Linked DNA regions of Ovis aries. The protein of the gene in region 4 interacts with the protein of the main gene of each other region in a pairwise test. Links are inferred from orthologs where the notes say so. Each region holds a gene or a part of one and is shown on either strand. Other genes may lie near its edges.

Region 1 (4,244 bases), on a different chromosome or scaffold from region 4:
TGGTTACATGTGCCTTGTTCCCACGTGACCGTGAGAGACCCTTTGGGAGGGGGTGGGGTGGGGGGGCATCGGCTTGGGTCACCTGTCTCAGGGTAAAACTCAGCTGCCTGGGGGCTGAGGCCCTTTGCACCTTTCTTGATCTTCTTTTCCTGGATCTTCTCTGCACACATCTTGTAGGCTTCTGACTGCTGGTAGGCCCTCAGCTCCTTCATATACTGCTGCTTCTCCCGTTCAGCCTCGTCCAAGTACCGCTGGTGGGGGCAGGGAGAGAAGGCTCAGCCCAGTGGCAGGGGAGGCCTCGCAGGCTCCATCACTCAGCCCGCTGTGCTACACTTTACCACAGCTCCCTGCTGCCCTCCAGACAAAACTTGGCCCTTCACTCTGCCGCTCAGGCCACCTGCCAACACCCGGACCTCACTGCTGCTGCTGCTAAGTCGCTTAAGTCGTGTCCGACTCTGTGCGACCCCATAGACAGCAGCCCACCAGGCTCCCAATGGCACCCCACTCCAGTACTCTTGCCTGGAAAATCCCATGGATGGAGGAGCCTGGTAGGCTGAAGTCCATGGGGTTGCTAAGAGTCAGACACAACTGAGCATCTTCACTTTCACTTTTCACTTTCCTGAATTGGAGAAGGAAATGGCAACCCATTGCAGTGTTCTTGCCTGGAGAATCCCGGACCTCACTACCTCACCCCAATTCCAGCCTTTCTAAACCACTCCCTGGTGTCTGACTGTCTGCAGGCTCCCACCTCTGGGCTGACCTGCCCTCCGAAACCCATTTTGCCTGTTGAAATCCCATGTAGAGGGTGCAAGCTGCTGGTGATTTTGTTACATTTCCTTGATGTTTTTGCAAATTTTAAATTAATTACCAGAACTTTAAAACTGTAAGGTCTCTAACAAAAATCCAGCATCCACCCCTGACTTCTTTTATAACGGTGTTTATTAACTTTTATGTCTATTCCAGCCAACTGCCACCCTCCCCTCCCTTCAACAAGCTGGAGAGAGCTAACGGGTGGTCAGTCCTTCCGGCAGAACGAAGGGCCTGCCACACCTGTTCCTTGAGGGTAAGTGATGGAGGATGGATGTCTGAGTGAGTGAGGGCAGGTCAGTCAGTGGTCCCAGGCCGTCCCCACCTGTTTCTCCGCCGGCTGCAGCTTGCTCCACTCGGCGCCCAGCATCTTGGTGATCTCGGGAAAGGGCAGGTCCGGGTGGCGCGTCCGGATCTGCTCGCGCCGCTCGTTCAGGAAACGCACGTAGCCGGTAACAGGTGCCTTGGGCCCATTTGGCAGGATCTTCTTCCGCTTCTTGCCCTTGGGCCAGCCGCGCTTCTTCACCGGCTGCCGAACCCAGTCGCGCTGTTGGGAGGGGTCTGGAGGGCTGGGGCTGGGCACAGAGGGGAAGGGGCGGGGCCCTGGAAGACTTGGGTAGGGCCTAACCACGAGGTGGGACCCAGAAGGTATGGAAGTATGGCCTGGTCAGGGTTCAGAATTGGGAGAGTGGGGTTAAGAGTGGGGTTAAGGTTTACCCTGGCCATGGGTAAAGGGATCAGAGAGGTACTGGAGACAGAGCATTAACCCAAGGATGGGGTAGGCTTGTGTTGTGGGCGTGTCCCCTGTATGGGCGTGCCTTACTAGCAGAGTCCCCAGGTAGCGGGCGGGGCCTAGACTGGCAGTGGAGCTCTTGGGGGCGTGGTATCTGGCATGGGGCGGGCCTCAGCTTGGGCAGGGAAATCTGGACTGTGGGCGGAGCCACAGCAAATTCAAATTTAGCTCTGGGCGGAGCTTCAAGGGTAAGGGCTACCGCCACGGCAGTGCAGGGACTCTCACCTCCTCTTCGTGGGACCCCTTCTCTCCGGCCCGCGGGCCCTCGCCGCGCTCTTGCTTGACAGCCACCACGAAGCCCCCATGCTGTCCTGGAGCCTTGGCGCTCGCCGGCCTGGAGCCACGGGAAGCCAGGGTCACTCCCACTCCCCACCCTCGACGACGGATTTGGCAGCAAGGGGCCTGAGTCCTCAGAAGAGGGCTCTGAGAGGGTCAGGATACGGAGGTTGAGACTGGAGCACTAGGGGAGCAACAAGGGACCTCGGAGAGACTAGAGCTACGGGACGCCAGGGTCACCCACCCCTTCCCCCACGACTAAAGAGCTGGCAGCTAGCGGCCTGAGTTCTGAGAGCAGGGGTCTGAGGAGGTCAGGATCCGGGGTTAGGGCAGGAGAACTAGAGGAGGCCAGCAGGCCACTCCTGAAAAGGACTGGAGCACGGAGGTTTAGGGGAAGCCCGTGGGAACCCCCAAGTGGGGGGCTCCTGTTCCAAGTCAGAGGAGTCAAGACCCTGGGCGCGGGGGTCGAGAAGCTCCAACGGGACGGGGTGGCTGCAGCCCCGAGTGAGCTGAGGGGGAGGGGATGTCGCACTCACGCGGAGGCCGCGCCGGGCTGCTTGGGGCCGTGGGACATGGCCACTCCCGGCAGCACCTGGAACGTAGACGCGTGGCCAAGTGAGGGTCGCCCAAGCCAGCGATGGCGGGGCTGAGCTGGGAAGCCCTGTAATGCCAGGTCCGGGGCGCCTGGGGGGGCCGGAACCGGGGGCGGGGAGGCCCTCGGGGGCGGGCGCCCCAGGGATCCTTTGTTGGGCGATCGCCCCCCAGGAGGCCTGGGTCCGCACCCTCCCGGCCCAGGAGGGTCCCCGCCCCGGCCCTGGGATCCCCGCGCCCCCGCCTCCTCGCAGGGCCCCGAGTTCCGCGGCTGTTTTCACCTCCAAAGAAACTTTCCCGGACCTCTCGGCTGCTACGACGCTCCAACCAACCGCCGGGAGCCCGCCCCTGCCGCCCGCTCCGCCCTGCACCGCCCCCGACATGCTAATAACGACTCGGCGAGCGATCGGATTGGGTATACCCCTCCCTTGGGGCGTGACCATGCAGATGAAGGTCGGCGCGCCCGTTGGTGATTGGCTGCGGTAGCCACTGAGCCGCGTGGGAGGTTAAGTAGGGAAAGCTGCAGGCGGGCGCGTCAAGTTCGGCTGTGCTCGGCCGCTCTCGGGACCAATCAGGATGTTTTCAGATTTCGCCGGGTGGAGCCTCTTAAAGGGCCAGCAGGCGCAGCTCAGACTCCTCCTCCCCTGCTGAAGGCGAGACTCCCCGCCCCTGCAGGATCCGGAGTTCGGCCCCGCCCTAGTTGTCATGGGGACGGTAGTAGGTTGCTAGGGAAGGGGTTAAGGTCTTTTGGAGCAGTCCCTTTCCCCACTGCACAGTGGGACCTGTTCTTAGCAGACCGGGTGGAGAAGTTTCCCGTTTATTGACTGGACTTAAAGCCCCCAACGGGGCCGTGCCCCGCCCTGCATGTGAAAGGGCCTGCTGTGAAAGGGCCTCAGCTTTCTCTCCTATGCAATGGAAGCGTTGCACAGGGTCCATGTCCAGAAGGCCGGATGAGGCGAAGCTGAGACCAGGAGCTGGGCTGGAAGCAACTAGGAAGAATGCGGTGGGGACAAGAAAGCTGCGAGGACCTCGTGAAGATGGAGGGCCAGGAGACCCTGCTCTGGGATCTTGGGGAACCCCAGACAGTAGCCTGGTCCTCTTACAGCCTGGACTGTGTTTCCTACTACCCCAGGATAATTGTGGTCACTGGATGCTCATGATGACCCGTTAGACCCCAAACAACCTACCCACAGCACTTTTCCGCTCTCGCCTCCCTGCATTTTCCTCCTCACTTACTCTGGCGACCTCAACGTTCCTTAGATATGTCCATTTCATTCATTCCCACCTCTGGGCCCTTGCACTTGCCCTTAATGCCCTTTCCCCAGATTAAATGTACCCCTTTCCAGTGAGACATTCCCAGGCTTGTACCCCACCCCATACACCCCATCTTATCTTTTTTTGTGTTCATTTCCTCCTTATAAGCTGCCAGTTTGCTCATTGCTATATTGCCAGCACCCAGAATAGTGCCCACAGGTGCTGTCAATGCATATATATTAAATAAACAAATAAATGTATAACGTAAATTTCTAACAGGCAGGTGCAGCAGCTTTGGAATGCAGTCTGGCAGTTCTTCAAAAGGTTAAAAAACCAAAACATAGAGTTACCATGCGATGTACCCAGGAGTTAAAGAATGGGCTTGCAATACAGGAGACCCAGGTTCAATCCCTGGGTCAGGAAGATTCCCTGGAGAAGGAAATGGCAACCCACTCCAGTAGAGAGAAGCGCCTGGCAAGCTACAGTCTGCTACTGCTAAGTCACTTCAGTCTTGTCCAACTCT
Region 2 (3,975 bases), on a different chromosome or scaffold from region 4:
AGTTATTGATATTTCTCCTGGCAATCTTGATTCCAGCTTGTGCTTCATCCAGCCTGGCATTTCACATGATGTACTCTGTATGTAAGTTAAATAAGCAGGGTGACAATATACAGCTTTTTATATTGACAATATACTCCTTTCCCGATTTGGAACCAATCTGTTGTTCCATGTTCAGTTCTAACTGTTGCTTCTTGACCTGCATACAGATTTCTCAGGAAATCTGTAGGTAAGATTTCTTCAGGTAAGGTGGTCTAGCGTTCCCATCTTTTTAAGAATTTTCCAGTTTGTTGTGATCCACATAGTCAAAGGCTTTGGCATAGTCAATAAATCAGAAGTAGATATTTTTGTGGAACTCTCTCGCTTTTTCCATGTCCCAGCAGATGTTGGCAATTTGATCTCTGGTTCCTCTGCCTTTTCTAAATCTAGCTTAAACATCTGGAATTTCACTGTTTACGTACTGTTGAACCGTGTTAATAATGTTAATAAATATATGAACATTCTCTATTCCTTTAAGGGAAAGTGATGAAGGAGCTGGCGAGTCAGCGGGAGCTGTTCCTGGAAATTCCCAAGACCTCAGCACAAGCCTGGAAAGGGAGGTGAAGGTGTTACAGTGGAGGATTATGGGGGGCATCTGTGGCCGTGCCAAAGGAAAAAAAATCTTGTCAAGAAAAGAGAGTATACAGAGCCCTGTTAATCAAAGCCTGTAACCTAAAGGAGTTCCCTCAAAGTTTTACGCCGCGAACTGCAGTCGAGGCAGGTCCCAAGGGTCAGGAGCCCCTTTCTTCCAGTCCCACAACCTTTCCCTTGGTGCTCACGTCACATGAGTGACCTAGAACTGACCCTTGAGTCTCTCTGGGCCTCCTCCCGGCGCCCCCGCCCCCGCCAGAGCAGATGCCAACTCTGCAGCCGGCAGGATGTAGGGAGATCATCGAAGTCTCAACCCGTGGTCCAACCCGCCCCGTCGCCATGGTGACCGCCGGAGTCACGCAGCTCCACCCCTTCCTCGCGACGTGGCCCCACCCCTCCGAACCCGGAAGCTCGCGGCTCGCGCTAGCTGCGAGAACAATTCCGGAGGAGGGAGGGCGGCGGTCCAGTCTCGCTCTGCCGCGCGCCCCGCCCCTCGGAGGCCGGCCCTCCAGCGCGCCCCCACGGCTCGCGGCGCTTACAGATACTGAGCGCTCAGGCCTCCAGCCCCAACCCGGGCCCCAGCAGCCTCCGAGGCCGGCCCCCTTTCTGGAGGGAAGAGCCGCCTTGGGAGGAGGGACAGGGACCTGGGGGCGGCCACAGCAGGTGAGGGGTGGGAGGGGTCCTGGGAAGCCTGGGATCTGGGTGTATGATGTGTTTGTGGCAGCAGGTGAGAGTGGTTTGTAGCGAGCACGGCTGCCTCTGTCTGTGTGACTTTGTGTGTGTGGCCCTGAGTGGGTCGGCTCATGTGACCATGCACGTGATTGCACGTCCCTGTGTGTGTCTAAGGTCGTGTCTGAGTTCATGGGGGTGATTGGTGTGCCTGTGACCCTGCCTTTGTGTGGCTGTCACCCGTGGGGCTGGAAGAAGGTGGAGATCTGTGTGTGGTTCGCCTGGGGTAGGGGGGTCGGGTACTTGACCTGGACATACTCCTGTAATCCCATACTGGGGCTACACTGCTACAGCCCAGGAACGCATTTTTCCTGTAAACTTTGAAGAACTCTGAGCAGACTAGTTATTTTGGAGATTGCACCTCAAGCCTGAAAGTGATAAATGCCTTTGTCATTGCTGAGCACGGGCCAAGTGTGAGGAAAGTGGCAGGGCTAAGCTGTCTCCTTTCCTCTTGTCATCGGGAGTCCTAAATTCTGCATTTATGCTGCTGCTTTGTCTCCACCTACAATGTTCCAGCTCTTCTTGGCAGAGAGCTTCAAGAGACTGAGGGGTAACTGAATAGCTGTGTGCAAATTTCCAAAAGCTTTAGTACTAAGACAGGGTACAAGATGAGATGTGACCGTCAAAATGTCAAGTAGTCAGCTTTTCCTCCCATGAGGTTTAGAAGATAATAGAATAAGTTTCTGAAGATAAGGATAAATCTTCCCCCCAGGAAACCTAAAAAAAGAATAGCTCTGTATTGGTGTGGTGAGGTAAGGAGACTTGCATTAAAGAGCCAATGGCATCATCCAGAGACCCTTAGGTTCTAATATTTCGCTATTGCTTGTATCAGTAAGAATCATAGATTGTCCGTATGTAGAGCATATGATTGAGGAAAAGGATCAGAAAATCTCTGACTAGTTGAACTGGTTAGATGACTTAAACATTTGTAAAGGCGATTTCATTGGCTGTGAATTGGCAGGGTCTGTTGAAATCCTGAGGGATAAGTGGACTGTAAAGTGGCTGGTTCTGGTGAAACCTTGATGGAGAAGTGCATGGAATTCTTGGTGCACACTCAAAACTGGCAGTTTTATCCTGGAGCAGCACAAGGGCCAGAGAGGACTGTGTGTCTAGTGCTGTCTCTGAGAAGGGGGTTTCCTTAAGCAAGATGAAGGGAAAATTCCTGCCACCCATTTCCCAGCAGCATGAACAGGTGCTTTTGTTTTTGTGAAGAATTGTGAGAGATCAAATCAGCGTTGAGCTTCTGGTCCACATTCTTTCTTATTTAATACGGATCAGTTGGATCACAGTCTCAGTGAACCTTTTTTTTTTTTTTGCCATATGCAGAATGTTCCCCTTGTGACTTGGAAAAGTATTCCCTTGTAGTGGATGAAAGAGAGCTAGGAGAACAAAATTCCTTTTCATACCACTCACAGCTGCTTTCCCTTTGCAGCAGTGTTTTTTCCCTCTTAAATGTCAGTTGGTCATATGCAACATTTGGTATCTGTCTTACCTTTCATGGACTGCCAAACTAGCACAAGTGTTCAAATCACTTGCTTCTATAAAAATCTAGTCACCGTTCGGTGGAATCTCTCTAACCAGTGAGATTGGTTATGAAATAAATGTTATGATATTGAGTGGTTGTGGATAATACTGAAGACTGTGGTAAGGAACCTCTTTCTACTTACTCCTGAGGGAAGAAGTGAATGACAGTGAGTGTGTATATCTGTGTACAGTGTGTGTGTGTATATTTGTAGGATAGTTTGGTTTGTGTGTTACAACTGATTCCAAACTATGAATCATTTATTTTATCCCAAGTTTGGTGAATCTAGAAGCAAAATTTCTGACTCTAGTTAGCCAAAGTGTTTTGAGTAGGTGTTTTGTTCTGATCTGTTGAGTAGGGATTTTTTTCTAAACATGTTTTTGATATTTCCTCCTGTAGAATAGTGATTGTTTATAGTAATTGTATACTAGAAAATGTCTTGATTAGGCAATAGTTAGATGACATAGGAATAGTTCAAGTCTGTCCAGATAGAAAACTTTCCAGAATTAACTATATGTGCCAGTTGCTTTCAGTTAAAAGCAGTGACCAGCTTAGAGAAAGGCTATAGTTCAAATGGCTTCAGTTTTTTAACATGTTAATATTTGTTAAGAGAAATGGGTATGCAAAGAATGATTTTCTTTATTTCAGTATGAGTAAGAACTACATCCATGCACATTGATTGTCTGTATAATACTGGCTGATGATTTTCTTCATATTTTAGAACCACTGAAGATTTCAATAAACTTTTCTCAGAACCATCCCAGCCTTGAAAGAAAAGGCCAATTATTACAGTGTCAAGGTTGTAAACCTAGTTTAATATTGGATGTCTACATTTACCATCTCCTTGGGGGTCAGTTTAGTAACCCCCAAGGCTAGAGGTAACAGTTGAGATTGCTGAGTGCCCTGTGTTTTGAGGGAGCAGATGTGGAGGGCCAAAGAGGAAGATTCATTGGCTTAAGAATCCCTGGCACCTGACCAGCCCAGAAAAGCCCCTCTAAGTTCTCAGTTCACAGTCAAGCCTAAGACTTAAGTAGGGGGTCTCAAACTCATCCTAGCCCTGCTAGAAAAACCCAGGCTTGTGCTGCAGTAGAGGACAT
Region 3 (4,060 bases), on a different chromosome or scaffold from region 4:
TCTGAGAGGGAGCTGCTCTCTGAGTGCAGAACCACATCCTCTACAGGTGAAAAGCAGAGACCCACGCTTATCAATGCAAGGCCTGGGTGCCACCCCCTTACACCACTGGACCGTCTCCTCCCCACCTGGCACACTTCCCAAGAATCCACCTTTACCTAAATCCAAGACCATCAGGGGCTGAGTCCCTCACTTTTTTTGTTGTTGTTGTTGGGCTGCACTGAGTGGCATGAGGGATCTTAGTTTTTATGTCAGAGATCAAACCTGTGCCCCCTGCAGTGGAAGTGCAGAGCCTTGACCACTGGACCGCCAGGGAAGGCCCTGTCCCTCACTTGCCTGAGGCCTATTCCCAATGTCCCCACCCTTTCCTGGGAGCAGCCTACAATTCCTCTCACAGCTAGGGTCCCCTAAGTCCTGCCTACCTCCCCCAATCTTCACTGGCTGCTCATCAGCTCCACCCCTGCCAGGCCCCTTAGCCAGTGCCCACCTTCCCGCTCTCGTCGGTGGGATAACAGGGCCTGAGCTCACCATGGCTGAGCTGAGCGAGGCGCGTGCCCAGGCAGACTCCCTGGGCGGTGATAACGGCTCCTCCGGTGGACAGGGGCAGGGGCTGGGATGGCGGGACCCCCGAGAGGCCAAGGCGGGCCCGGACCTCCCCAAGCTGCTCCTCCAGCTCGTGCAACCTCCGAAGGGCATCTGCCTGGACTTGGCGCCGGCGCCGGCGCTGCTCAGCACTGAGCTCGGGGGCCAAGGCCAGGCGGCGGGCAGCTGCGGCGATCTGCTGTTGCACAGACACCTCTCGCTCCAGGGCCTCAAGCGCCAGCTCCTGCGGGGCCCACCCGAGAGGGTGCGACGGGACCAGATGTTGGAAATGGAAATGCCAGGCACCAGGACCAGGCGGTGTCAGAGTCTGGATAGGCTGGGGGCGGGGCCTGCCCCTCCTGGGGGCACCTACTGTTCCTCTGGGGGCACCTACTGTTCCTCTGGGGGCAGGGTTTGTGTGCATTAGAGCTGCACCTGCTCATCTTCCTGGGGCAGGGGGAAAGGCTTATCCTGACAGTTAGGGACCAGTATCTTCTCTCAGACCTGGAAGCCACCTCCCTTAGGCTCCTTCCCTCCCCACCTTGAGAGTGAAAGTGAAAGGTGCTCAGTTGTGTCCCACTCTTTGTGACCCTATGGACTATAGCCCAGCAGGCTCCTCTGTCCATGAGATTCTCCAGGCAAGAATACTGGAGTGGGTAGCTGTTCCCTTCTCCAGGGGATCTTCCCCACCCAGGGATGGAAACCAGGTCTCCCATATTGCAGGTGGATTCTGAGCCACCAGGGAAGCCTTAGTCTCTCCTTATGCCCTGGCCATAAGACCCTCTCAGCTTCCTCTGGGATCCTGTCCCACCCCTGCCTTGCTCGGCGTGCCCATTAGCTCACCTCGGTGGGGCACATGGAGTGGTGTGCTGGGTTGGGGTGCGGTGGAGGGTAGGCGCGGGCTGCAGGGGGACGCCGGCGGACCAACTGGGGTCGTTCACCAGGCTCCAGTGGGCACTCGGGAGGCAACTGGCCAGTCAGCTCCTGGGTGGGGTCAGGGATTGAAGACTACCAAGGGTTAGTTGGGGGGATGGGGCAAAGCAGTCATGACACGAAGGTACAGAAGTCCCACTAGCAGCCCAGCCCTGCTCAGCGCCCACACCTGTTATTTCTCTTCCTCTTCCTAATTCTCCACCAGGTGGGTGTGTGGCACACTCTCAGCCCCTCCGTGGCCCAAAGCCCAGGGCCGGTGGGCATGGGAGGCAGGGAAGCCTGCTTTGGAATCCAGAATCTCACAGTTTTTATAAAGGTGACACCGTCTGTATACTACATATTATATGACACTCCCTTCAGGGCCTGGGCTGCATGCTCTGAACCGCATTACCGTTTCGGGCAAACTGTGTGGACATTTGCAGCGAGAGAGGTGAATCGAAACTATAAATCAGCCCATGTCACTTCTGGTCAGGTTTTACTGCCACGTTTGGGAAATAACTTCTTTTGTCTTTGAGGCTTTTCTTCTTCTTCTTTTTTGGATTTCAAATTGTTGATAAGGGATTGTGGTAAAATATTACCATATTCGAAGACATCCAAGCTGAGCTTTGGGGAATCTCCAGCTCAGACAAGTGCCTCAGTCTGCCTACCTCGTCCCTGCTCCTCGCCTCCCTTCTCCCACCACAGACGCCCTTAGGTTCAGGCCCTCACCGCCTCCTGGAGACACACTTTCCTCAGCTCCTGAAGTTTCAGGCTCAGGGCCTCCTGCAGGGCCCGCTGCCGGTCGAGTAGACTCCGTAGACGTTCTGACTTCATCTGGGGGGCAGCCTCTCCAAACAGGGCAGCTGGACACAGAAGGAGTGAAGATCAGGGGGTGGGGTGCATCTTGGAGCAGCTGTGGGGCCAGGGCCCACTCCTTCCCACACAGGCGAGTGGTAACTCAGAGCAGGGGAGGAGGCAGCAAGAGGGGGAACCAGACACCGACCTGAGGCGTTGAAGGTGGGAGAGCTGATCAGCTGACCTTTGACTTCCATCCTGAAGCTGTCAGGATGCCGTGACTGATGGCTGGACAAGGCCTAGCAGTGATGCAGGGGAGCCACTGGGGATCATCCAGCATGCGCCCCCACCCTCCACCCCTACCCAGGTGCCCGTGCCCCAGCTGGAATAAGGAGGACCCTGACCCCACCCACCTGCTTGGCCTGCCCTCTCAGAATCTGTGCCAATGTCAAGGCCCGGGTACCTTGGTTCCCTTCCCATTGAGTGGGAGCACAGCAAGTGGGGAGCTGGGCGGACTTACAACACCTCCTCAGAGGCCCATGGGCCACCGTCAGGAGTCTTGCCTGGGAAAGGAGAATTAACAGTACAGATGCAACCAACTAGAACAACAGTGGGGCTTTATTAACCATCTGGGTGCCTGGAACAGTTACCTTATATGTCACATTTAATCCTCACAACCACCCTGCGATGGCAGTTTCCGTGACCATTATTACCTCCGTTTTAGACATACGAGTAAGACACAAAGAGATTAAATAATCTGCCTACAGCTAAGGATGTAGCCAGGCCCACCCTCTGGTCCAACACTCTCCCTCCCCAGAGGTGCTGAACCTCACGAATCCCTCATAACCTCTCAGCCCATCAGGGTTCCAGGCCTTTGCGCAGGCTGCGGCTGCTGTCTGGAGTGCACTTCCCCCTCCGGCCACTCCAGCCCCTGGTTCTCTCTTATATTCTGGGGCTTCAGTGTGATTTCCAGAGGTGGGCCCCACACTATGTCAAGACTATGCCTCCCTTGTACCTTTATGAGAACAGAAAATGTTATCAGTAACTCTGGCATTCAGAATACTTCCGGGCACACAGCAAGTGCTCAAGGGAGTGTCTGCTGGGTGAATAAAAGAATGACTGCAAACTCCTTGTCCCAACTCCGTCCTGTGGCCCTGGTGCAGCAGCAAAAGCGTTCACTTGGCCTCAGGACCCATCCAGCCCCACCCAGCATGCCAGCCTGTCCCACAGAGGCATAGGGAAGTCACCCTGCCAGGACTGGGAGTGGCAAAGTCCACAGCTGCAGATAACAAGCGACTGCCTCCTTCTCGGCCCCAGACATCCTGGTTGACCATGGAGCTGGCCTTGGCTGGTTGCCAGCCCTGTCCTCATCCCTTCCTTTGGAGTTTGCTCCCTCCCTCCCACAGCCTGCTCAGTCCCCAGCTGGGTAGCTAGGTGACATCACCTCCCACCACCTGGTCTGACCTCGGCAGCAGGCGACTGGGGGGACCTCCTGAGGCTATAGAGGTTCCATCTCTACCTGCCTCCGCAATCCCCAGCTTGTTGTTACGTGGTGGCCAGGTGTGGAGAAGACCCAGGCACCCTTGGTGGGGTGGGTTCAAGCCCCTTCTGTATGTGTATCTTGGAGTACATGGCCAAGCTGCTAATAGGGTGCCAGCAGTTTCTCAGCAGGCCTCTCACCCACCTCTTGGGGTCTATGCCCCTTCAACAAAGCAGGGGTTCCTAATCCTCAAAATCAGGGGCGGGGTCAGTCCCTAAAGCTATTTTGCACCCC
Region 4 (3,500 bases):
GTATACATGTCAGAAGCATATACCATTACTGACAGTTTATGAATCTGTACAATAGAAAATTATGATCACTGACTATAACATTTAACTTTAGATATTTGCATCACCAAGTCATGAAACACTAATCCAATTTAATCTTATATTTGCAATAAATCCCTAAAATCACAAAGAATAAACACAAGTAATATGGAATTCAATTTTTTCTGCCCATTTTGCTTTTACAGCTGATATGAATATGAACTACTTACATGACTCAAAAAATAGGAACGTTTCAAACTCATTTTTAACTCATTGTTAAAGGAACTGAATGAAAGAGATAGAATGATGCATTAAGGTCCCATAGCTACTTTCATGGGAGAAACAGGAACAAGCTGTTATGTGTTTTGCAATATATTGACACCAACACATACACATTACAACTGCCACCGAGAGTGTTTTAAAAATTTAAAAGCCATGTATCAAAAAAATTACATCCATAGCAGTAAATATGTCTATTGGCTTTAGGACAAAATTCCAAAGCAAGCTAACTTTCCCAAAGTCAAAATTTGACTGTAATTCAGGTTTTAACATTTATGTCATAGCCTATAAAGGTTATTTGTAACATGATGTGTTTAATTGACTTAAAAATAATTTTTCTGAGACTAAAAAGAAATAAGAGAGGAGTACACCAGGTACGTTTAAATGTTTATGTGGGTATTTACCTTACACCAACAAATCCTAATTGTATAGTTGCCCAAACTGATGGAGAAAAATACTCACTGAAAAATAAGATCCACTGCTTGGATAACTGAGATGAAACTACGACAGGAAACCAAACACAGAGGTCCTTTACTGACTTCTTGCTTTTCTTCCTTTTGGAAAAGCTTGAAACTCTCAGATATGTCATACTCTAACATGTTCACACAAAATTTGTCACATTCTCTTTTCCTATGCATGAACAACATTTTAGATACATTTTATATTACCATGGGAAAAGATCAAACTATCAGATATGAGACAGTACAAAAAAGTGTATTCAGGCTTCAAGTTGTGAAAGTTAGGACGGTACCCACCAGTCCTCAAGGCAGAAACACAAAGGAAGTGAAGACATTTGCTTCCAAAGAGTTCCCATACCTTGTTTTTTTCCTGTGGCTCGACTCCTGATGTCTTGAAATCAGGACCTTCCGAGTTTTCACTTAATCTATTTCTCCTGTGCAGGAGTTCTTCCATTTCTTTCACCTGGACCTTTAACCTTCTATTTTCTCTCTCCAGTCCTTGTTTTTCCTTTTCAAGTAGCTCCCTCTTGTCCCATTCAGATGTATTTTCAGCCTGCAATCTCTCTAGCTAAAGACAGAAAACACAGAAAAGCAATATGTAGCATTTGCAATTGCCAAAGTGAATATGTCCATTTACACATTAATTTTTCTATTTTTTGGCCACATCCAAGGCAGGCAGGAAGTTAGTTCCTCGACCAGGGATTGAACCTGTGCCCCCTGCAGTGAAAGTATGTGGTGTTTTAACCACTGAACCACCAGGGAAGTCTCTACACAATTTTTAAAAAGAGAACTCTATTTGTCTGAAAAGTTGAAAACAACACATAAGCCCTAAGACCAGATCATGTGCTAGGTAAATTTACCCTTTCTCTTGGTTCATGGGACTATTTCTAGAACCAAACAGACCATATTTTTCAATTAAAAATATTAAGTGAGACATTGATGATATTTTGCCATCAAGCTCCACTCAGCTGATGAGAATTTATCAGTTGAGAAGGAACAAAATCATTTCTTGGGAAATTTTGGTTGGATGGATATAGCTCATATATTCTTTCACTCATTCACTTATTTACTATACCTTTCAACTTCCAGGCACTATGCTAGTCATTGTACAGATGGTGAATGTAATAAAATATCATAAACGCCATGGTTAAAGTACTGTACAATATAGACAAACTCACCTGAATGAATGGCCTATTTGATTTTCAGGGAATGGAGGTTGGCAACATGATTAAAATCAGAGGTATTTTAAAACTATGTGTTATGGACCAAGGTTGAAAATTACTTGTTTTAACATTGTTAGTTTTAAATGGCTTGATGGCAAAGTGTTGACTAGTACTGCACTATTATAAAGTAGTTTCCATGACTTTAAATTTTCTAAGAGAAATCAACATTAAGAAAATGTTAGACTTCAATAATATCTTTGGAAATTAATTTTGATTAAAAAGTCTAAAAACTGCTTTTTCATACACACATAATTGAGCCATTATTGTAGAAAATGTTCTGTTCCCAAATCTAAGCGAGGCTCTGGTTTCTGAAAAAACAGGAAACTAAAATTACACTCTTGGCACTAGATCTTCTCTATCAATTAAACATAATAAACTAAGGGATCAAATTTTAGATGACGTGATTTGACATTTGGGGTGCCTGTTTGGGATATGAGGTGAAAACAGTATTTCACAATCCAATTTAGAACATGACATGACTTTAATTATTAAGATTAATGCTTAAGCTTTTTGACTAGCATCACATCACTTATCAGAATGAAAATAATAAAGTTGTAATAAAAAATCATCAACTTTGTGATGAAAAATTAATTTTATGAGAATAAATGTATTCTTGGTCAAGGACAAATAGGATGTTATGTCAAGTCTTTGTAAAACTTTAGGCATTTAAAAGACATCGCTAAATTTGAATTTATACCTAATAACAGATAACAAGTAGAAATAGAATTTTAAATAAATAATAGATGGCTTGAATGAAAAAAATCTAACTTTAAAAAGTTGAAGGAATTATATTAACAGCAATAACAACAAAACTTAAATAATGATGTGTTATTATTTACTATTTGAAGGTTTTTATTGACATACCAATTATCTGATAAATTTAGGCATATAATAAACATCAAAAAAGTATGGGTTTGTGAAAACTGGATCATAAATTTTATTAGCTATTTTAATTTCATCTTTAATGATTCTTTCTTGTCAGATTATTCTTTTCTAAGAATCATACAAAATCTACTACCTTAAAAGCCATTCAATTAAACGTGGAGTTAAAAGGAATGAAAGAAATATCAGGTATTACTTTAAGCTTTCAGAGTATTTTGTAAGCAGTTCTAACAACTGATCAATTTGAAATGGAATTCTATTGATTCACTTCCAATGATCAACAGAAAAATTCTAAAACATTTTAATTCTAACTGTAATACACTATGAATGTTAATAGTGAAAGTGTTAGTCTCTTACTTATGTCTGACTCTTTACAACCCCATGGACTGTAGCCCACCAGGCTCCTCTGTCCATGGAATTCTCCAGACAAGAATACTGGAGTAGGTAACCATTCCCTTCTCCAGGGGATCTTCCCAGCCCAGGGACTGAACCTGGGTCTCCTGCATTGTAGGCAGATTCTTTACTATCTGAACAGCCAGAGAAGGAGAATCAAGCTAGAAGTATCTCAATAAAAGGAAGTAGGAGATGGATTTGAATATTCTAAGAGCCAAGAGCCCAATCATGACATATTAGGAGCTTAGGA
Region 5 (3,928 bases), on a different chromosome or scaffold from region 4:
TGGAATTCCGGCTGAGCTACTTCAAATTCTAAAAGATGATGCTGTGAAAGTGCTGCACTCAATATGCCAGCAAATTGGGAAAACTCAGCAGTGGCCACAGGACTGGAAAAGGTCAGCTTTCATTCCAATCCCAAGGAAAGGCAATGCCAAAAAATGTTCAAACTACTGCACAATTGCAATCATCTCACATGTTAGCAAAGTAATGCTCAAAATTCTCTAAGCCAGGCTTCAACAGTACATAAACATATACTTCAGTTTTATTGACTACACCAAAGCCTTTGATGGTGTGGATCACAATAAACTGTAGAAAATTCCTCAAAAGATGGGAATACCAGACCACCTTACCTGCCTTCTGAGAAATCTGTATGCAGGTCAAGAAGCAATAGTTAAAACCAGACATGGAACAACAGACTGGTTCCAAGTTGGGAAAGGAGTATGTCAAGGCTGTATATCATCACCCTGCTTATTTAACTTCTATGTAAAGTACATCATGCGAAATGCCAGGCTGGATAAAGCACAAACTGGAATCAAGATTGCCGAAGAAATATCAATAACCTTAGATATTCAGATGACGGCACCCTTAGGGCAGAAAAGCAAAGAACTAAAGAGCCTTTTGATGAAAGAGGAGTGAAAAAGTTGGCTTAAAATTCAACATTCAAAAACTAAGATCATGGCACCTGGTCCCATCACTTCATGGCAAATAGATGGGGAAACAGCGGAAACAGTGGCTGACTTATTTTTCTGGGCTCCAAAATCACTGCAGATGGTGATTGCAGCCATGAAATTAAAAGACGCTTACTCCTTGGAAGAAAAGTCCTGACCAACCTAGAGAGCACATTAAAAAGCAGAGACATTACTTTGCTGACAAAGATTCCTCTAGTCAAAGCTATCGTTTTTCCAGTAGTCAGGTATGGATGTGAGAGTTGCACTATAAAGTAAGTTGAGTGTGGAAGAATTTATGCTTTTGAATTATGGTGTTGGGAGAAGACTCTTGAGAGTCCCTTGGACTGCAAGGAGATTCAACCAGTCCATCCTTAAGGAAATCAGTCCTGAATATTCATTGGAAGAGACTGATGCTGGGAAAGACTGAAGGCAGGAGAAGGGAGCAACAGAGGATGAGATGGTTGGATGGCATCACTGTCTCGATGGACATGAGTTTGAACTTAGCTTCCAGGAGTTGGTGATGGACAGGGAAGCCTGATCTGCTGCATTCCATGGGGTCGCCAAGAGTTGGAGTGACTGAACTGAACTGAAGATTAAGAAAAGACTGTTTCATCCATGTGACTGGCTAAAATTGACCAGCTAAAAGCTGGTCACATGCCAAGACCCTGAAGACAGTATAAACCCAGGGATTGAACCCAGGTCTCCCACATTGTAGGCAGATGCTTTACCATCTGAGCCACCAGGGAAGTCCAAAGAAAGAAAAGATAAAGAGAATTCAAGTAAATTTGGCTCCTGAGCTAAATTTAGAAACAACCTGAGGGGAACCAGGAAGATTAGGGATTAAGGTTCCTAAATAATTGCAGAATGTAGTTACCCTGACTTCTACCTGATGTATCTGATATTCTTCCCTTTTGCTAGTATGTGAACCTCCCCTAATTTTTCTTTCATGCCCTCCCAGAACTTTGTCCAAAGCATGAACACAGCGCCTAATATGCATACCGCTTTACACTTAGTTTTATGTTTATGTCATCCACCAAAATATAACTCCTTGAAGGGAATGAAAATGTCTTATGCACTGCTGTACCCTCAATTTTTGTTTTTACGTGTTGCCCAGCACATAATATGCATTCAAAAAAACAGTCTATGCAGTTGGACTACTGTTGTTACAATAACAGTTCAATATACAGTACAACTATCTAAAGAGAATTAGTTGTCAAAATATAGAATTTGCTGCATATTTCTTGGGCAACTGGCAGTTTCACCTCACCCCGGGCCCCCTTCCCCGCTCTTAGAGCGCTCAGGAGTCTGACGCCTTTTCTCCCAGAGACCAAGAAAATACGTCTTCTCATTCCAATACTCATCTCAATGGTCGCCTTCTCAAAAAAGATTTCCGACTCTTTCATGAAGAACTAACCGCGCCCCCTTTTAATAGTCTTAATGCATCCAATAGCGAACAACTGTATTTAAGCACCCGAAAGACATCATTACACTCGTTTTTCTACACGTTGGGCTTCCCACCTCCAGAGCATTTTGCTTTTCTGCCTTCCATACAGTGCCTGAACGAGTAAATTAATTCAGGATGAATGGGCCGTCTGAAATTTACTATTTAAAGGAAGATTTTAAGTGTCCATGGATCCACCGCTTGGTGGGGATGTCAAAAAATGTCCAAGTATTAGGTTAATTAACTAGAAGGCCGTTAAGGTCCCTTCCGGTGAACTGATTCTAGAATTCTGATTACTATAGCTTGAACTTTAGGATCAAAGGTAGCATAGGCTTTTCTGAAATAATTGACACCGACTAATTCTCTTTTATTCCCTCAAACCAATGTAAGCTTCCTACATTTTTAAGCTCCTGGACCCAACTGTACACTCGCGAGCCCGAGCAAGCTCACCCACCCACCCTGCCTCCTTCGCGGCCTCTCCGCCTCGCTTCTCCCCTGCTCATCATCACTCCCAGGTGCGGCAGTCGCCTCTCTTCCGCTCACCGTCCGGCCGAAACTCAAACTCCAGAAACTCGTGTCCAAATTTGCCCTTGTGCCCTACGTAGTAGCGCAGGTAGAAATCGCTGGCCATAGCCATCTTTGTCCCCGAAAAGCCCGCCGAAGGACCGGCCGACGTGACTCCCGGCGCCTGGCAGTGACGTCAGTCGCCCAAGGATTACACGTCACAGCGGGCGCGCCCCTTCAGCCTCCCTCGGCCCGAGAGAAAAGCGGGTGGGAGATAGGGTGCGGTGGGGCAGGGTTGCAAAGGCATGAACTCTGCTTTACTAAGGTCATATTATTTTCAAAATTAGTTAGATCATATTATATTGGGAAAGCACAAGTGATAAAATATGAAAGCATTTGTTATGACCTCCGAATTAGTTCGGAGTTGCTCTAAGTTCTAAATTAAAAGTCGCTCTGACTTTTGGGGTCTCACGGCATCCCGTGAGGTGGGTGTGGCCTTATCCCCCAGGTTAGTGGCATGAGTCAAGGTAAAAGCCCAGAATCAGAATGCAGACCTGCAGTACAGCCATTTCTCTTGCTAGACTTCTAACACAGGCCTCTCCCCTTTGGACAATGATGGCTCGCTTTCTGGCATCTAGAAGCCAGACGAGACAAAGTAGAAAGAATCCATCACGACAGGCTGTCTGAAAATTTGAAGAGCACATTGAAGCAAAATCTCTTGACAGTCATGATACGAAAAAAATTTCTATCAATAATAAAACATCCAGTTACTGGAGTTTCGGCAATTTGATCACAGGTCAAGTGGTTTAGCGCCCATTTCTTACGCTCTAGAGTTATACTGGGGAAATATAGCTCTCATCTGGAGTGGGTTTTGAAGGATGAGGAAAGGCAAGCTGAGCTTTACACAAAGCCTGTTTGTTTGTTTGTTTGTTTTTTCCTCTTCGGTTATATTGATTACCTTTCTTTTATCGACACACAGAATAATCCTGCTTGTTGGATACCCTTTAACCTTCAGTGGGATTTGATAAAGAGAGTGGCAGTCAGAAGACAGGGATTTATGCCCATTACTTATCTCTACCTAACTTCCTTTAAGACCCTATCTTTAAGCCGTTTTATTGGTCAACCAAATGAGTAGACTAAAATCAACTTTGTCAAGCTCAAAAAACTGTTGAAAGGACCAGATAAGATAATGTATGTGAAATAAGATTTAAAATTTATGAAACAACATATGAGTTATAATGGGCATTTCGTATGTGCCAGAAATGGTTGGGCACTGGTAATAAAAAAATCCTTTGTGCTTGTCGTCTAGAAAACGAACAT
Region 6 (4,291 bases), on a different chromosome or scaffold from region 4:
GCAATATTGGTGAATTTAAGAAAGGGATCACTCATAGACAAGGGTTGAGAATACATTTTGGTAAAACATTTCTCCAGAGCAATTTAGTACTTTTTATAAAAGCCTTAGAAATATCCATTTCATTTGACCCTACAATTCCATTTTCAGGAATTTATTCTAAAAAAAGGAGTGCAGATGTGTATACAAAAGATATGTCATAAATAAGCTGCCTGGGAGAGGGGTAACCTAAATATTAAAGACTAGGAATTTGGGTAAATAAAATATCCAGTGCATAATACTAGGGAGTCATGTTTAACCTAGAAAATGTTTAACATGAAGAAATGTCCAAAATATATGAGACAAGGTTTAAAAAAAGAGTCTGATACTAAATTGCTGGGAACTTGAGCAAATCACTTAAGTGAGCTGAGTCTCTTCTTCACCTGCAAAGCTTAGATACTTAAGGACCCTCTCAACTCTTCCGTTATATGACTCTAGGTATCCATCCTTTCTTTTTTATAAAGAAAATACCATCCTTTGTGGTTCAGTTGGTAAAGAATCCGCCTGCAATGCAGGAGACCTGGTTTCGATCCCTGGGTTGAAACGATCCCCTGGAGAAGGGAAAGGCTACCCACTCCAGTATTCTGGCCTAGAGAATCCCATGGACTGTATAGTTCATGGGGTCGCAAAGAGTAGAACACGACTGAGCGACTTCACTTCACTTCATCGTTGGCAGTCGGTAAATGTTAGGTTGGCAGCTGATTGCACAACTGTCCTAAACTATTTCATTCGAGGATTTACTAAAAATTGCTCACAAAAGAGAAAATATGTGTCTTGGAAGAAAATGTCTACCTTTTTCCTTAGTTGCCTAATCTTTCAGCATCGTGCTTGGTTTTGAAGGTACAGAAAGACACTGGCGCCCTCAGAGAGCAAAGTCTCTTGGGGTAAAACCAATAATAATGTTAAAAAGACTGATGATAACAAATCCTTGAAAGATGAGTTCTCCAAGGAGTAGGAGAAAGGATTCCAAAGTAGAAAGAAAAGCATGTTCACAGACAAGATAGAGAGAGAGGATGGTTGGCACAAAAACGGACCATTATTTGTGGCCTTTCTTTCAGTATCGTTCTTCTCATATTACCCAACACCTCATATATCGTTTAAGGGGAGACTGAGCCACACACTCGATCACCTGTAGTCTCTGGTGCATCCGGTCAGGCCGGTGAGAAACTGACAGGAGTCAGCAACACGGAGGTAACTTCACCAAGAACCCAAGAAGGGGTACTTGGTAGCGGCAGCCCAGCAGCTCCTAGTTCCCGCGGGCACTCCTGGCCAAGGTTTCCAGCCAATCTCAGTTCCTCTAGCTTCCCAGGCCCCTCCCACTTCTGAGCCGCCTGAGAGCTTTGAGGGCGGGGAAGCAAGGGAAGCCTATCGATATCTCTGGAATAAACTATTCTACCCTGCGCCGCCGCCGTCAAAGTCCGCAGTCTTCTCTGTAGATCGCCGAGCGGAAGTTTCGGCAGTGCTGTTCCATCCGCTGGTTTGCAGGAGGCCGAAGCCAGGCTCGCGCCGGAACCATGGTGCGTTGGATTCCGAGATTAGGCAGGGTTGGGGAAGAGGTCCGCTGGCTGGGGGGTAGGGGGAGCTTCTTCTCATGCCTTCCTTAGAGCGGCCCGGGGCCATGGGACTTAGGAACCGTTGCCGACGGGATGGTTCAGGCGGTGATTCAGCATCTCCGGCCTGGCCGGGAGAGTGGAGGTCGGTAGTCTGTGCTGCCGCTGCGACCTTTCCCTGGGGTTTGTTTCGCTTTCCACGGGGTCTTGAACAGTATCTTCTCGGTCTACCAGCCGATTTCGCTCCTCAGATTCCTTCAGTCGAGTAAATTCCGAGCGGTCCAGAGAGGGCCCTAGTGCTCTGTGTGGCAGAAAGGAAAAATAGGGACTTAACTTCAGACCTCCTTGTACTGCCAAGTGCGGACTTGATTCCAGGGTTTGGGTTGCTGCCTGGACCGCGTTCATTTTCTTGGCGGGTCCCTCTGCAGTCTTTTTCTTAGAGCTCTGTCAGAAAAAGCCCTTTTCAATCACTTTGTCTGCTGTTGCTGCTGCTAAGTCGGTTCAGTCGTGTCCGACTCTGTGCGACCCCATAGACGGCAGCCCACCAGGCTCCCCCGTCCCTGGGATTCTCCAGGCAAGAACACTGGAGTGGGTTGCCATTTCCTTCTCCAATGCATGAAAGTGAAAAGTGAAAGTGAAGTCGCTCAGTCGTATCGACTCTTAGCGACCCCATGGACCGCAGCCTGCCAGGCTCCTCCGTCCATGGGATTTTCCAGGCAAGAGTACTGGAGTGGGGTGCCATTGCCTTCTCCGACAAATGAGTGAACCGAAGCTGATATTAGTGATGAAATCAGGGTTATAGTATAGAGCTCAGGGATTCCAGGCCAGTGCCTGCCATTCCAGCGCTCAACCTTCTCACCCCCATGATTAGTCTCCCAAGCACTGTGCTGGTGGACTTAATACCGTCTTTAAAGCTGTAATGGGTCTGTTTTTATGGCAGTTTGTGTCCACTTATGACTTCCTGGGGACATTCTTGTGTTCTCATTCAGTATGAATGAATGAAAGGCACGTTCAATATGAATGTTTTAAGGGCAGTGAAGGTTCAAGGATAAATCAGACATATCCCAAATCGTAGTATGAGGCAGAAAAGTAAGTGTAGATAAAGAACTGGTGGGAATATGTTTTGAGATTTGGGGAGAAAAGATGGAGAAGATTTCAAGAGATAGACATTTGAGCTGACTTAAGAAAAGGTAGTAATGTTTTTGACCATTTATTAGGGTCTGAAAAAAGGGAAGAATATTAGCAAAGATAGAAAGGAAAGTGGACATATAGGAACTTTAGTAATTGACTAAACCCAAACCAAGTACTATGAACAGTGTTAGAACTGCTAGACTGATTGGGAAGCTATGTACCATTTAGATCCGCCCCCCCCCATCTCCTTATAAATGTAAAATTGACTTGCAGCTGATTACAGTAGTAATCTTCCAATGAGACTGCAATAGCAGCTTTTCCTTAATGCTGGATGGAGAGAGATGGGAGAACATTTTTTAATGATAGAGCTTGTGAAGATTTTGAATTTGTAATGTTCTTGTGTTAATAGGTCTTTTTTCATTTACTTTCAGTTTCGCAACCAGTATGACAATGATGTCACTGTTTGGAGCCCTCAGGTAAACTTTTGGTTACTGCAATGTGTTTAGAAGCTTATGGGATTGTAGGAAGTGAGAAAATGGAATATAATCATTTTATACGTTCCTGAAACCTAAGTTTATCATTAAAGTCAGTCTTCTAGTTTTAAGAAACAGCATTTGAGATGTAACTATGCCCACTTGAGATTTGGGATTGCTAAATTATGTTAAATATATAAAAGGGTCTTGTAATGACTAAGGTGTGTTGGGTTTTTTTTTTTTTTTCATTTTAGGGCAGAATTCATCAAATTGAATATGCAATGGAAGCTGTCAAACAAGGTTCAGCCACAGTTGGTCTGAAATCAAAAACTCATGCAGTGTTGGTTGCATTGAAGGTAAGTAAAGCAATAAATATATCTTCCTCCTTTAGAAAACACTGTAAAATGTTAGTTTCACTATATAAATAATAAAATTATAAACTTACTCTTTTGTCTTAAATGATGTTTCTATTTAGAGAGCACAGTCAGAACTTGCGGCTCATCAGAAAAAAATTCTCCATGTTGATAACCATATTGGTATCTCAATTGCGGGACTTACTGCTGATGCTCGACTGTTATGGTGAGTATGACCTGGAAAACAAAAGAAATATCCCTTTTGATTCATAATTGATTACATATCTAGAAACAATCCGGATATTTTAGGAAGTTGTCTGCTAGAGTGTTTATAAGTTAAGATTATTAATACCTTAATGTATTTGGGCTCAGTTACTAAGTATTCCATTTCTTGATCACTGTAGCAGTAATTAATAGGATTAACCACATTAACATTAATGCTTTTTAGAAGTCATTGAATAATGTATTACTTGTTAACTCAGTATATATAGTTTGATGTTAGATCTGGGAAGAGCTTGACACCAGGTTTCTGAAGGATCAGCTGAACCACCTTTGCTGTCTTTAATATACCAGTATTCATTTGACATTTATTTTTTGCAAAGCTCAATACTGGATACAAAGAGTATACAAAGGTGAATCAGACAGATCTCATCTTCTAGGAGCTTAAAATCTAGTAGAATATCTGCAATACAAGGTAGAAAGTGGAGAGCAACAGGTATATTTCTTTGGAGGGGGTGGGGGATAAAGA
Region 7 (4,282 bases), on a different chromosome or scaffold from region 4:
TCAGCTCTTCGCATCAGGTGGCCAAAGTACTGGAGCTTCAGCTTCAGCACCAGTCCTTCCAGTGAATATTCAGGACTGATCTCTTTTAGAACTAGCTGGTTTGACCCGGATGGAGAGAAGAGGGCAAAGGGAAAGGAGCAGGAGAGGTCAGACTGACAACAGGTACAGATCATATAGGTCTCTGTAGATCAGGCAATCCTGAGTTGCTGAGTGGAGAGTAGACTGTGGCAGATACGGGATTCTCGGTAAGAGGCTACTGCAGTCACCCAGGTGAGAGATCACTGTGGTTTGAACAGGATGGTGTTCCAAGATGGTGCCAACTGATCTGATTCTGGATATATTTTTAAGGCAGAGTCAACAGGACTTCCTAATTGATTGGATATGGAGCGAGAAAGAGACAAGTCTAGAGTTTTCTGCCTGGAGCAAATGGAAGGACATCATGTCATTAATTGAGATGAAGCAGACTGGGAGTGGAGCAGGTTTGGCAAGATGGTCAGGATTTCTGTTCTGGACATGCTAAATCTGAGATGTTTCTTAGACTTCAAATTGGAGAAGCTAAAGAGAGAGCTGAAATATAAGACTTTGGGTTTCATGGAAGAGATCGAGGCTGGAATATGAACTTGGAAGCAGTTACCAAACAGACAGTATTTAAACCTCAACCCTGATGACAGCACCAGGGAAGTCATCAGAGGTGAAGAGACTAGCTCCAAGGATGTAATGCTGTGGCACTACAGGAAGAGGCTGGCAACAAACGAGAAGTCAGCAAAGGGAGCTCCCTGGTGGCCTAGTGTAAGGATTCTGGGCTTTCACTGCTGGGGCTCAGGGTTCAACCCCTGGTAGGGGAACTGAGATCCCACCAGCAGGCGTCGGAAGCGGGAGAATAGGAGCCAGCAAAGGATACTGAGAGGTGTGTGCGTGTACTCAGTCGTGTCTGACTCTTTGTGACCCTGTGGACTTTTCCTGACTATAGCCTGTCAGGCTCCCCTGTCCATGGGATTCTCCAGGTAAGAATACTGGAGTGGGTTGCCATTTCCTTCTCCAGGGGATCTTCCTGGCTCAGGGATTGAACCAACATCTCTTGCATTGGCAGGTGGGTTCCACCACCTGGGAAGCCCACTGAGGTGAAAAACTAGCAAAACAGGGATGTGATGTCTTAGAAGCGGAGTAAAGATACTGTAGCAAGGAGGCTAGTGTTTGTGAACGCTGCTGCTGCTAAGTCGCTTCAGTCGTGTCTGACTCTGTGCGACCCCACAGACGGCAGCCCACCAGGCTCCCCCACCCCTGGGATTCTCCAGGCAAAAACACTGGACTGGGTTGCCATTTGCTTGTCCAATGCATGAAAGTGAAAAGTGAAAGTGAAGTCGCTCAGCCGTGTCCGACTCTTAGAGACCCCATGGACTGCAGCCCACCAGGCTCCTCCGTCCATGGGATTTTCCAGGCAAGAGTACTGGAGTGGGCTGTCATTGCCTTCTCCGTTTGTGAATGCTGCTCACAGACAAATGAAAGATGAGTGTTGAGAAATGGATTAAGCAACTTGGAGGTCAACACTCTCAGAGTAATAACGAGAAAAATGACCATCTTTTAAATAATCTCGCTCCCTTTCTAGTCCTGAAACAATATTGTTCTTTGTGCTCAGAGCACTCCCTACTTTTCAGTTCTCAGCACAACGGTCATGCAACCTGGGAAACCTGACTCCCAAGACTAATGCTATTGTCAGAGAAGCTATACTTTATCACGAGTGCATTATTCTAATTGCTTACTTAATTCTTTCTCTCGGGCTACACTGGAAGATCCTGACGTTAGGTATACCTTTACCCTGTTTACAGTTTTTTATCTAAACCATCTAAACTCCTAGCACGGCGGGATGTGCGTAGTAGACATTCCATGATTACTTACAAAACACGTAAATAAATGCCAGGAGAACTTAGCGGCGTGAGTAACCACTTCCTGCTGGCCTAACCTCGGTGATGCCTATAAGAGTGCCACTCTAAGGAATGGGCGTGGAGGGCTCCGGCAACCCTCAATCTGCCCCAGAGCTGGGTCTCCCAACCCCATTACCTTTGCCAAGGGCCTCAGTTTTTTGTTGTTGTTGTTTTTTAATTCCAAGTTATTCCCCTGCCAGACACCTTTCAGCCGTCCGCCCCAGCTACCCACCCTCCTCCTCGTACCCCATCCCCCCCACTCACCCAGCCGCGTGGTGCGCTCCCGCGGCACCGCGGGCCTGTCCCCGCTCCCATGCTCGGCCTCGAGCTCCTCTTGCTGCTGCCGCGCTTGCTGCAAAATCCGTCGGGTCAGCCGGGGCCCCACGTACTCTTCCTCCTCGTCTCCGGTTCCGCGACCCCGCCGTTTTTCTCGGGCTCCTGCCCGCACCGCGTCACCAGCCAGGATCTGCTCGGCCAGCGGCGCATGCTTCTCCTGACCCCCGGCCGAGCGGGCCGCCTTGAACTTGGGCATTTTTCTAGAAAACCAAGCCGTGAAGTTTCCCACGTGGGTATGGAGGAAAAAAAGGCCCCGAGTGCGCTTGCGCGGTAAACACCCAGCGCCCGAGAGCCCACCGGAGCTCACAGCGCCCCCTCGCGTCTGGAGGCCGGGTGTGCCAGAAGCCCCGTCCCACCCCCCCCCCCCCCCAAAAAGAGCTCACGGGTCCTGGAGCTGGGTCCTCCCGAATTTAACGTTGTCTTCTCTAAGTGGTTGTAGTCCGAGATACACTTTCCTAGTTTCATGGATCTGGGTCCAGGGTGCCCAGGCGAATGGGAATTCCCTGACCGGCGAACCAGGGGATCGGGGGCGGGGCGGAGTCGGGCAGTGACCTCACCGAAGGACCCAGACACGCCCTTCCTCGTGGGCGTGTCGACTGGACGCTGTGTTTTTACGTAAGTTCCGGAGCGCCTGCCTCCATTGGAGCTCGCTTTAGCGAGGTGGTTTCTCCTCTTGTGGGCTGCTGGAGCACAGCGCATTTCACTTGTTTGATCCTCCCATCTTCCTGGCACGACACCATGGGAGTGACTTGGTAGGACTTCAGAGGACTTTGTGGGGCGGGGTTTGGGGACTTGAAGGCCCCTGGAGCCTCGAATATACCCGGGAGGAGGATCCCGACCAGGGTCCACAGTCCCCCGGAAGATGAGCAAAATGTCCTCGGATTGTGTAAGTGAGGGGGCCACCGCGAGGGCTGCAGAATCTGCAGGCCCCTTTCCTCGGAGATTCGCCCCTTCTTCCTGGAAGGCGGCAGGAAAAAGGGTTTAAGAACCCGTTAATGATCGTGTACCTCCTTCCTTTTTTCTTGATACAATTTCTTGACCGTGAAGCCTGGGGTAGAACTTTAGGGTTGAAAGTAGTATGTCGGGACTCGGACCCGTCTGCAGGCAGGGCTTGGATGGGTAGGGGATAGGCAACAAGGAGATAGTATCTTTTTTAGGTTTTTGCCTGCCCCTCCTTACAGCCACTAAATGCAGTTAGATCAGCATGTGTCTGGTTCTAGTTTGGCCTTTGTAAGATCTTGAGTCTGGAGGGAAAAAAGGAGCTGTTGGGAATTAGGAGATAGGAATTACAGGCACATCACCTCTTCAGGGTCTGTTTCCTATTCTGTTTAATTACCTGGTTGGTTTAGTTTTTATGGACTTATTTTAACACGTTATAAGTCAGTGTGGCAGGGAAAGGTATGGGCTTAATTCTCTTCGAGTCATTTAGTTCCAAAATGCTAGATTTCAGAGCTTTAAAATATATATATCTTGAGCATCTCTCCCAGAGAGGGCTTAGAGGCCAGGTTATCTGAAGGCAATGGCTCTAGGCTTCTCATGTAAGAGCCTGTGGGAATTCCTGGTAGCCCAGGTCTTGCAGATTTGTCAGTGACTGCACATTTGCTTCCTGAAGCTGGCATCATGAGCCTCCTTCAAAGTCCTGTAGTGTAAGAAGGGTGCGAAGAATGGGAATGAAAAGTTTGCTAGGGTCTTTCATGACAGTCCAGTGGTTAACATTCCACGCTTCCACTGCAGGAGGCACCTTCTACTTCAAGGGGCATGGGTTCAATCCCTGATTGGGGAATTAGATCCTGTATGCCTTGTGGCGCAACCAAAAAAAAAAAAAAGCATGCTGCAAAGAGGCGTGAAACCCTGGAAGTACCTGTTCTCTCAGGGCAGAAGGCAAGCAGGGAAAGGGCTCTCTCTTGGGATGCTTCGCAACTTTTTCAGGCTTCTAGGACTTCTGACCCCAGTAGCATCACCTTAGGGATTCTCTTATATTTCAAAATGAGGCACATCATCATCATTACTTGTTAGTACTTTTT

Evidence for each region.
Region 1: the proteins of CCDC102B (region 4) and HMG20B interact in binary tests that used the Homo sapiens proteins (3 or more experiments, as listed by UniProt). The two-hybrid records come from large-scale screens. The link is inferred for Ovis aries from reciprocal best matches to the Homo sapiens genes CCDC102B and HMG20B.
Region 2: the proteins of CCDC102B (region 4) and SPG21 interact in binary tests that used the Homo sapiens proteins (3 or more experiments, as listed by UniProt). The two-hybrid records come from large-scale screens. The link is inferred for Ovis aries from reciprocal best matches to the Homo sapiens genes CCDC102B and SPG21.
Region 3: the proteins of CCDC102B (region 4) and CCDC120 interact in binary tests that used the Homo sapiens proteins (3 or more experiments, as listed by UniProt). The link is inferred for Ovis aries from reciprocal best matches to the Homo sapiens genes CCDC102B and CCDC120.
Region 5: the proteins of CCDC102B (region 4) and MAGOHB interact in binary tests that used the Homo sapiens proteins (3 or more experiments, as listed by UniProt). The two-hybrid records come from large-scale screens. The link is inferred for Ovis aries from reciprocal best matches to the Homo sapiens genes CCDC102B and MAGOHB.
Region 6: the proteins of CCDC102B (region 4) and PSMA1 interact in binary tests that used the Homo sapiens proteins (3 or more experiments, as listed by UniProt). The two-hybrid records come from large-scale screens. The link is inferred for Ovis aries from reciprocal best matches to the Homo sapiens genes CCDC102B and PSMA1.
Region 7: the proteins of CCDC102B (region 4) and BYSL interact in binary tests that used the Homo sapiens proteins (3 or more experiments, as listed by UniProt). The two-hybrid records come from large-scale screens. The link is inferred for Ovis aries from reciprocal best matches to the Homo sapiens genes CCDC102B and BYSL.

Annotation. Positions count from the first base shown.
Region 1 is NC_056058.1:18,147,695-18,151,938, forward strand, and holds the start of HMG20B (SWI/SNF-related matrix-associated actin-dependent regulator of chromatin subfamily E member 1-related), read right to left. Parts: upstream 2,801-4,244; 5' UTR 2,749-2,800; exon of another isoform or gene 2,469-2,748; 5' UTR 2,451-2,468; coding exon 2,413-2,450; exon of another isoform or gene 1,935-2,412; coding exon 1,826-1,934; exon of another isoform or gene 1,355-1,825; coding exon 1,133-1,354; exon of another isoform or gene 964-1,132; intron 252-963; coding exon 131-251; intron 1-130. UniProt on the Homo sapiens protein: Required for correct progression through G2 phase of the cell cycle and entry into mitosis. Required for RCOR1/CoREST mediated repression of neuronal specific gene promoters.
Region 2 is NC_056060.1:11,901,684-11,905,658, reverse strand, and holds the start of SPG21 (maspardin), read left to right. Parts: upstream 1-1,175; 5' UTR 1,176-1,290; intron 1,291-3,975. UniProt on the Homo sapiens protein: May play a role as a negative regulatory factor in CD4-dependent T-cell activation.
Region 3 is NC_056080.1:56,043,400-56,047,459, forward strand, and holds the start of CCDC120 (coiled-coil domain-containing protein 120), read right to left. Parts: upstream 2,801-4,060; 5' UTR 2,767-2,800; coding exon 2,713-2,766; exon of another isoform or gene 2,700-2,712; intron 2,586-2,699; coding exon 2,495-2,585; intron 2,355-2,494; coding exon 2,221-2,354; intron 1,564-2,220; coding exon 1,423-1,563; intron 824-1,422; coding exon 526-823; intron 41-525; coding exon 1-40. UniProt on the Homo sapiens protein: Centriolar protein required for centriole subdistal appendage assembly and microtubule anchoring in interphase cells. Together with CCDC68, cooperate with subdistal appendage components ODF2, NIN and CEP170 for hierarchical subdistal appendage assembly.
Region 4 is NC_056076.1:8,522,983-8,526,482, forward strand, and holds part of CCDC102B (coiled-coil domain-containing protein 102B), read right to left. Parts: intron 1,321-3,500; coding exon 1,111-1,320; intron 1-1,110. UniProt on the Homo sapiens protein: During interphase, forms fibers at the proximal ends of centrioles to maintain centrosome cohesion. During mitosis, dissociates from the centrosome following phosphorylation to allow centrosome separation. Contributes to CROCC/rootletin filament formation.
Region 5 is NC_056056.1:204,663,485-204,667,412, reverse strand, and holds the start of MAGOHB (protein mago nashi homolog 2), read right to left. Parts: upstream 2,801-3,928; 5' UTR 2,742-2,800; coding exon 2,648-2,741; exon of another isoform or gene 2,563-2,647; intron 1-2,562. UniProt on the Homo sapiens protein: Required for pre-mRNA splicing as component of the spliceosome. Plays a redundant role with MAGOH in the exon junction complex and in the nonsense-mediated decay (NMD) pathway.
Region 6 is NC_056068.1:37,962,038-37,966,328, forward strand, and holds the start of PSMA1 (proteasome subunit alpha type-1), read left to right. Parts: upstream 1-1,491; 5' UTR 1,492-1,550; coding exon 1,551-1,553; intron 1,554-3,148; coding exon 3,149-3,193; intron 3,194-3,444; coding exon 3,445-3,546; intron 3,547-3,665; coding exon 3,666-3,769; intron 3,770-4,291. UniProt on the Homo sapiens protein: Component of the 20S core proteasome complex involved in the proteolytic degradation of most intracellular proteins. This complex plays numerous essential roles within the cell by associating with different regulatory particles.
Region 7 is NC_056073.1:15,721,004-15,725,285, reverse strand, and holds the start of BYSL (bystin), read right to left. Parts: upstream 2,801-4,282; 5' UTR 2,642-2,800; intron 2,459-2,641; 5' UTR 2,455-2,458; coding exon 2,187-2,454; intron 1-2,186. Other genes in the region: MED20 (mediator of RNA polymerase II transcription subunit 20), read left to right, coding at 2,997-3,010. UniProt on the Homo sapiens protein: Required for processing of 20S pre-rRNA precursor and biogenesis of 40S ribosomal subunits. May be required for trophinin-dependent regulation of cell adhesion during implantation of human embryos.